2 linked regions of the Neurospora crassa OR74A genome follow. The protein of the gene in region 1 interacts with the protein of each later gene in a pairwise test. Links are inferred from orthologs where the notes say so. Each region holds a gene or a part of one and is shown in the gene's direction. Other genes may lie near its edges.

Evidence for each region. The genes of interacting proteins can lie anywhere in the genome.
Region 2: the proteins of NCU10155 (region 1) and NCU02631 interact in a two-hybrid assay, tested with the Saccharomyces cerevisiae proteins (4 studies listed by BioGRID). The link is inferred for Neurospora crassa OR74A from reciprocal best matches to the Saccharomyces cerevisiae genes DPB2 and PSF1.

The regions. Positions count from the first base shown.
Region 1 is NC_026505.1:1,592,464-1,596,509, forward strand, and holds the start of NCU10155 (DNA polymerase epsilon subunit B), read left to right. Parts: upstream 1-1,246; 5' UTR 1,247-1,379; coding exon 1,380-2,158; intron 2,159-2,217; coding exon 2,218-3,994; 3' UTR 3,995-4,046. Other genes in the region: NCU04588 (hypothetical protein), read right to left, coding at 140-221, 295-794, 912-998. UniProt on the Saccharomyces cerevisiae protein: As accessory component of the DNA polymerase epsilon complex participates in chromosomal DNA replication.
Region 2 is NC_026501.1:2,993,052-2,996,584, forward strand, and holds NCU02631 (DNA replication complex GINS protein psf-1), read left to right. Parts: upstream 1-1,203; 5' UTR 1,204-1,384; coding exon 1,385-1,417; intron 1,418-1,472; coding exon 1,473-1,996; intron 1,997-2,065; coding exon 2,066-2,159; 3' UTR 2,160-3,033; downstream 3,034-3,533. UniProt on the Saccharomyces cerevisiae protein: Required for DNA replication. Functions as part of the GINS complex which plays an essential role in the initiation of DNA replication by binding to DNA replication origins and facilitating the assembly of the DNA replication machinery.

The DNA.
Region 1 (4,046 bases):
GACGAATCGAACCCCAAGACGTACGTCTCCCCTTTATTTTGGACAACAGCATGAAGTGTAGCGACACATCAAACGGACCGCTCACCTATTGTACATCCGCTCTCACCACCCACATCCTTCAAACCCCAAACATCTCCTCTCAAGCTTTCTGCTTCTCTTTCGCCTCCTCCTCCTTGAACCTCGCAACCAACCTCTCCATCAAAAACGGACTTAGTCCCAAGCTGTAACCAATCCCAACAGTTAGCAACCACGTCAACCCACCTCACCTCACCTCACCAAAGTAAAAATACTCACATGCCCTGATTCGTAACAACCCGATAAGTCCCACTCCCCTGGAACGTCCCCTCGATCATCTTTCCCTGCCCATCCACCTCCACGCTCCCAAAGATATCCTCGGGCCACGCAATCCTTCCGAAATCCACTGGCGTCCTCTCATCACTCAAGTGCACCCATCCTCCCCTGCCCGCGCCTCCCGCGCCTCCCTCCGCTGACGCCCCGCCGGCGCCCGTGTCGCTGCCCTTTTTGCCTACCTTTCTCGAGCCAGGACGAGGAAGGAAGGAGAAACCGGCTGGGGAAGCAAAGGCTTGGGCTTGTGATTGAAGACCGGGGTCGGAGTAGGCGTGTTCGGCGAGGACGGAGTTGAGGATGGAAAGAAAGTGGGGGTTGGTGGTGAAGGACTGGGGAGTTGGGGGTAGGGCGGTGGTGGTGCCGATGGAGAGGGTGGGTGGGGGAGGGGTCGTGGGGAGGAGGGAGAGGATGTAGCTTTTTGGGTCGTTTGGGTGGGGAAAGACTTTCTGTGGTGATGGGTGTTAGTATGGTGTTTGAGTTGTTGTGTGGTGATGTGGTGAGGATGGGGGTTGTGGTGTAAGTGCGGGTGGGGTTGTTGGTGGAGAGGTGGATGGATGACTTGCAATGTTTGGGTTGGACGGCAAGGTCGTGAATGACCTGACTGCGCTTCGTAGCGTAGGAACTACACGAAATCTTGTAGTAAGCATCATGACTGGCTGTATTGAATCTGATATCGAGAATGAAAAGGTTGGTGATGGCGTCAAAAGTTAGTTGATGTCACTCTGGTGCTGTTCGTGCGTCTACTTGTAGCGTAGGTACCTGCTGTAGGTACCTCTCTAGCGCTGCCGGCGGCAACCAGGGTAGGTGGCCCTTGATGCCCCTGTTTCTGACATTGTGGAGCCCGTATTGGCTGAAATCTGGGGTGAGCCCCACTAGAACGCGTCTGGTCCCCTGCTTCGTTTCTCAATTTACGCGTCTTCCAGACAGTGACAATGACGGATATCACCACCACGAACAGACTGGTAGACGGCCAATTGTAACCGACTATACTAAATTGCAAGTTTAGTCGAGCTATCCAGACCACAGACACAATGATCGTTCAAAGTCCCCGCCAAAAGCGGACGAAAACCGGCCAGACAAACGCCCAAGACAGACCATCTCGACCGCAGCCACAAGCAGCAGCCGCCGCCGGCTTCTTTGCGCCCAAGACCCCAGCGGGCCCATCCAACCCGATACCCTCGTCCTCGCCCGCCTTCGCTACTCCAGTACATCCACTGAAGCCGTTCCAACCCCCAGTCCTCACAAAAGCCGCAATCCTGCCCATCATCCTTCCGCCGGCGACACTACGACCGCTCGCCTTCCGAACGTTTACCAAGAAACACAGCCTAACACTTACATCAACTGCCCTACAAGAGCTCGCAACCTTTATCGGTAGACACTGTGGCTCAGGATGGAGGGAAGAAGGCCTGGCCGAAAAGGTGCTAGAAGAGGTAGCAAGGAGTTGGAAGAACCGCAATGGCGGCGTCATCGTGGAAGGCAACAGCCCCGAGCTCAAGGACATTCTCAAGACCCTCGAGGGAAACATGAGCGGAGGAAAGATCCTGACCGGGCCACGAAGCTTGAGCAGACAAAACAGTCTCTTGCTAGAGCCCGACCAAGACGAACAACATGCGCATAGTCGACTCGGACTTCGGCCCGTGCCATCATTAACCCGGGAGGACAGCAACGCCAGCTTTGGCATGTCTGGGTTGGAGTTCACAGAAGAGCCGGAAGACGATTCGGTGAGAGATGTTAGGAGGTGGCTGAAGGTTATACATGCTTTCGATCAACCACGGTTGATGTATAATGTTGGAAAGAAGCATTTTGAGAGGTATGGTCCCTTATTATTTATTACCCTCTTTACATAGGTTACACAGCTAACCTTTGTAGGGATCCTTCCAAACCCTCCCTACTACCAGCCGCCTCTCACAAAACCGATGCCTTCCGCAACCGCTACAACGTTATTCATCAGCGCATCCTTCGCAACGAAGCCTTTCAATCCTCCTCCGTCCAAGGCTCCAGCTTGCGCCAACGAACCAACGCCAACGGCCTCTCCTCCCACAAGATTACCCCAATCGCCAACCTGCTCGGCCGCCATGGCAGCAACCACATGCTGCTGGGCATGCTTGTTGTCCTTCCCACTGGCTCTCTTGCCATCAGCGACCTGACGGGCACCATTACTCTCGACCTCTCTCACGCTGTCGCCATCCCTGAAGATTCTGCCTGGTTTACGCCGGGAATGATTGTTCTCATCGACGGCGTCTACGAAGAGGAGGAGGAAACCATGACCATGGGCAACGGTCTCAGTGGTAGCAGCGGTGTGGGCGGTACCATCGGCGGCCGGTTCCAAGGTTTCTTCATCGGCCAGCCACCATGCGAAAAGCGCCGCGTTACGCTCGGGGTTAGTGGGCCCGACGGCACCGGCGCTGATCATACCATTGGCGGCGGATTCGGCTGGATCGACTTCCTGGGCGTAGGTAGCGAGAGGGCAGTCGGGTCCAAAATGCGCAAGTTGGAGCACAGAATTCTTCGGCAACCAGCGCTGTTGGAGGATGGCAGGCCGTCGAGGGGTAGGGCAGTGATTATTGGCGAACTAAACCTAGATCAGCCGAGGAGTTTGCAGGCACTGAGAAAAATCTTGGGTCTCTATGCTAGTGATCCTGAAGGGTGTACACCCATGACGTTTGTGCTGGCGGGTAACTTCACGCAGCATGCTGTCATGGCGAGGGGCGGGAGTGGGGGGAGTATTGAGTACAAGGAGTTTTTCGATGCGTTGGCATCGACACTGGCGGATTTCCCTAGTCTGCTCACGACGGCTACCTTTGTTTTTGTGCCAGGTGACAACGACGGGTGGGTGTCTGCCTTCTCAGGTGGTGCGGCAACTCCTTTGCCGAGGAAACCCGTCCCAGATCTGTTTACTTCCCGCATCAGGAGGGTATTCGCAGCAGCGAATGCTGAAGCCGGGCTAGCCAACCCTGGCAAAGAAACAGAAAAGGATGCAGGCAAGAGGAGAGGCGGCGAAGCTGTCTGGACAACCAACCCAAGTAGGATAACCCTTTTCGGGCCTAGTCACGAAATGGTTCTTTTCCGAGATGACATCTCCGCCCGGTTACGACGAGCTTCTGTCCGTCTTAAGAACACGAGCAAAGCCTCCGTCGAGCCGGAACCCCCAACCAATGGTAACGACGACTCGGCAATGGATAACCAATGTCCACCCTCCTCCCTCCCCGACGCCCCCGATGCTGACGACGAAGACATGGCCGACACAACCATGACCGACGCCATGGATGTCGATTCTGCCCCTGCCCCTAACCAAAAGACTACCATGCCTCCTCCATCTTCCATACCCTACGACGTCCTCGCCGCCCGCAAGCTAGTGAAAACCATTCTCGACCAAGGCTATCTCGCTCCTTTCCGGCAAGCTATCCGCCCGGTACATTGGGACTATACTTCCGCCATGTACCTCTACCCGCTGCCGACGGCCATGGTACTGGTGGATACTACCGCTCCGCCGTTTTGCGTGACGTATGAGGGGTGCCACGTGATGAATCCGGGGAGCATATTAGTGCCGGGGAGGAAGGGGGCGGCACGGTGGGTTGAGTATGAGTTACCGGGAGTGGGAGGGACGGGGACGGGTGGAGGGAGGGTTAGGGAGTGTACATTCTGAGTTTTGCACATTTCGAGTGAAATGTTTGATTGTCTGGAGAAAAATCTGCCTT
Region 2 (3,533 bases), on another chromosome or scaffold:
CCTACCTACATACAGGGCAGTACTTAGCTCCTTATCTTATCGGAGCTTCCATGTAGGTCCCGTCTTCACGATGGAGTCTTCGGTCAGTTCGGTGGGTTCCTGTGCCTGGTCTGTGCACTGTCTGTATTTAATGGCCAGGAAATTTTTCGCTGTGTGAAATTCTCCCCGTTTTGGTTCTTCGTGTGCAACCGCCGCGTTTGAACAGCGCCATTGTGGGAGACATCAGAGAGAATGGCTCCAAATTGCTAAAAGCTGGCAATGCCAGAAGTACGCCGCGTCGGTGTCTGTCATTAGTGTAAGTTCTAGCACCTTGTTTGATATTCTCCTTCCCTACTCCTCCGTTACCGGTACTCCCACGCCCATCCCGTGATGATCGAATTGGTCCGTGTTACCAAGCAGACTTAAGACCTCTGCAGATGACGACGAAACCAGCATTTATGCGACTCTGACCCTTTTGGCATCTCATTCAACTTGGAATATTGCTTCTTTTTCGCAGCTCTTGAGCTAACTCATGAATCGTAGTTGTTGTATCTTTGCGCATGCCGAGTGCTTGTCCAATGGAGCAGCCCATCTGAAGTTGGAATTTGGCAACCCTACGGAGCCTAGTGTAGTCTTTCCTCGTCACCATTACCGATTGTCCGGTGCGTTATGGGCGGGTGGGAGTATCAAGGTGGTCCGAGAAGGTTGCTGGTTTCAACAGTTGATAGATTATATCGTGTTTGCTTAGCAATAGTTTATTGAATATTTCTTAACTGTTCAAGGGCTTAATGCTAGTAACTTTTGGACGTAGGGGCATGTAGAATGTGTGCACCATGTGCGAAGGCACTCCGATTCTTCACATGTATCTCTGAACTGGTATCGGCTTCAGGAAATGAGACGTTCGTTTCAAAGGTACGGTGGCCTGTACTGCGGCCTTTGCCCATGAGAAGAAGCATCACCCTTCAACTACCTCTGTACGTCTTGCTTTATGAATATCCCTATTCTTGTCGCCGACGTTAGTGAATGCCCTGACTGCACGTATGCCTTGGGACACGCCGTATGCAGCTGGTTGAGAGGGAATGGGACGAAGAAAATGTTCGGATACACGTACCTCTACTGCGTATTCTGCTTCGGGTTAGGGCTGTCCGAGGACTTTTGATGCCCACCCCGCGTTCAAGTGCAGTGCTTAGACCATCTTGTAGCGCCTATCTGCCTAACAACGCTTGATATGCTAGTGGCCATAGAACGGTTTCACATCCAGACGGAACCTCGAACTTCACCCGCCTGGCTGTTCGAGAAAACGACGCGACGTGAGACGCGTCAGAAAATAGACACATAGTCAATTCCACTATCACACCTTTCAGCTTCGAACTGTCCAAAGAGGCACTTAAGCCACGTCGAAAACATGCCCATGTACGGTGACTTGGGTAACAAACTGGTTTGTGCAAGCTCACTGCATCCTCCCTGGATACGAACACTCACACCATCACCAGGTCCAGCATGCCAAGAGGACACAGAACTTGAGCCATCTTCCACCTTATCAGACCGAGCTTGTCCGTGCAGTGGCCCGAGAAATCCGGGATCTTGACAAAGACGTCGCCAGTTTACTTGAACCTTTCCAGGGGTCATTTGATCCTTCCGCCGAACAGGCCACCGCGTGCACGCTGCTGGTCAACCACCTTTCAATGCGAAGGAACAAGCGCTGTCTGCTCGCCTATCACCGAATCCGAACAGACAAGCTCGAGGAGCTGGTGTGGAATGGAGCCGATATCCTCGACCTTGCCGGCCAGACGACAGGAGGGCCCAAGGGCGTGACGGAGGGCAATGAAGGGGGCGGGACCACCAGCAGTCTTAGTCCCCAGGAAGAGGATTATTTTCGACAGTTTGGAGATTTGTTGGCCCTCTACAAAGGCCAATGGACGGATATCGATCTCACAGGCAGTCTCGAACCCCCACGAGACCTTTTTATCGACGTCCGAGTGTTGAAGGATGCGGGCGAGATCCAAACCGAATATGGGTAAGCTACGCTACAGATGGAGGAATAGATGATGGCTTTGGTTCCACGCTAACTAACGCATGTCTAAAGGGCGATCAACCTGACAAAGAACAGTCAATTCTATGTCCGGCAAGGAGATGTGGAGCGTCTGATTGTGCAGGGATATTTGCAAAAGCTGGGTTGAACAATATCGACCTGGCATCGATGATTTGAGACCGGAGCTTGTTGCTGCAGACCAGCAATGGAAAACTGCTATCGGCAGCGGTTGCCGACAGGTTGACAGACCCCTCGCTCTTTCCTGACCATTGACGGCGTGGCGCCTTCCGAACAGTACCGGAGAGGGAGTGACGGACTCAATGGCTTCGACCAGAAGCCATATGCAATGGTCATTGATCAGCAGCTAGATGTTGGAGGGAGCGCAAAGGACCGACTCAAAAGGGTTGCGCCGCACACACAGAGCTGACCAGTCCTTGTACTACGACGACGGCCAAAGGTGACTTCAACCAAATATTTTGAGTCTCTGTGGGGCAAGGAGTTACCATCTACTTTTTCTCAATGGCTGGACCATTGATGAAGGTTTGAGAAGTGCTTGCATCGACAAGGGACCATGAGCCCACAACCAGACGGTAGCACAGTTTGTAAGTTGCGGGAAGGATGAGGGAAAGGTTACTTTGACGGCCAGACCATTGATTCAGGAACCCACACGGAATTGCCGCGGTGGACGACGGCCGAACGTCGAGGCTGGAGTGACAGCCAGCAAGGGGTTTCACAAGGCCCTTCAAATTTTTTCACCAACCAGTGGCCAAGTTTTCTGGCATGGCAACACTGTGTTTGTGGCGGCTGATAACATCCTTTTTTCAGTATATTGTTTCGTTGATGGCAGATACTGAGAATCAACCCGAGTAAAGAGAAGAGGTACTGACTAGTCCTTGATTTGTCAAACTACAGCTAATAGGGCCCATCTGAAGAAGGCGATAAGAACAGTCATAGGGTTATGTAAACTTTTGACCGTTATTGCCGTGTGCTCGCTGTCAGTCTGTCACACGTGGAGCTGAATGATAGTTACTGGGGTGCAGTGTTCAATTTCAAAAAAGAGAAACCAATTCGCACTGGGAAGGCTGCTTGGTGGAACAAGGATTACATCATGCAGATGACGCCTTTCCCTTCCACGGCCTCAACCCCACCATGGCCAGCTAAAACAACAGGTCCAGGCCATCCAGCAACTGCTAGGTAGTATCATTGGCTTTCAACTGATCAATTGAGACCATATCAGTTCTTGTTCAGTCTTCCTCCGGCGCTAGGTACGATAGACGCTACGACGCACGACGGGACAACATGGAAACCCCGAACCGTCGAAGCTTATGTACATACTAGTCATCAGATATCCCGCCCGACGAAGTCTTTGCAGGCGGGGCCAAAGAGTTCCGGCCGGATGCAGCATGGCGCGGTCGGTGCTTCTTGTATGTTGCTGTCGACAAGATTGCTCCATAGAATTTTGCTTCTCACCACCGGCCTGTACTCCTCGAATCGCCTCCAGCCGAGGACGGACCTTCTACGA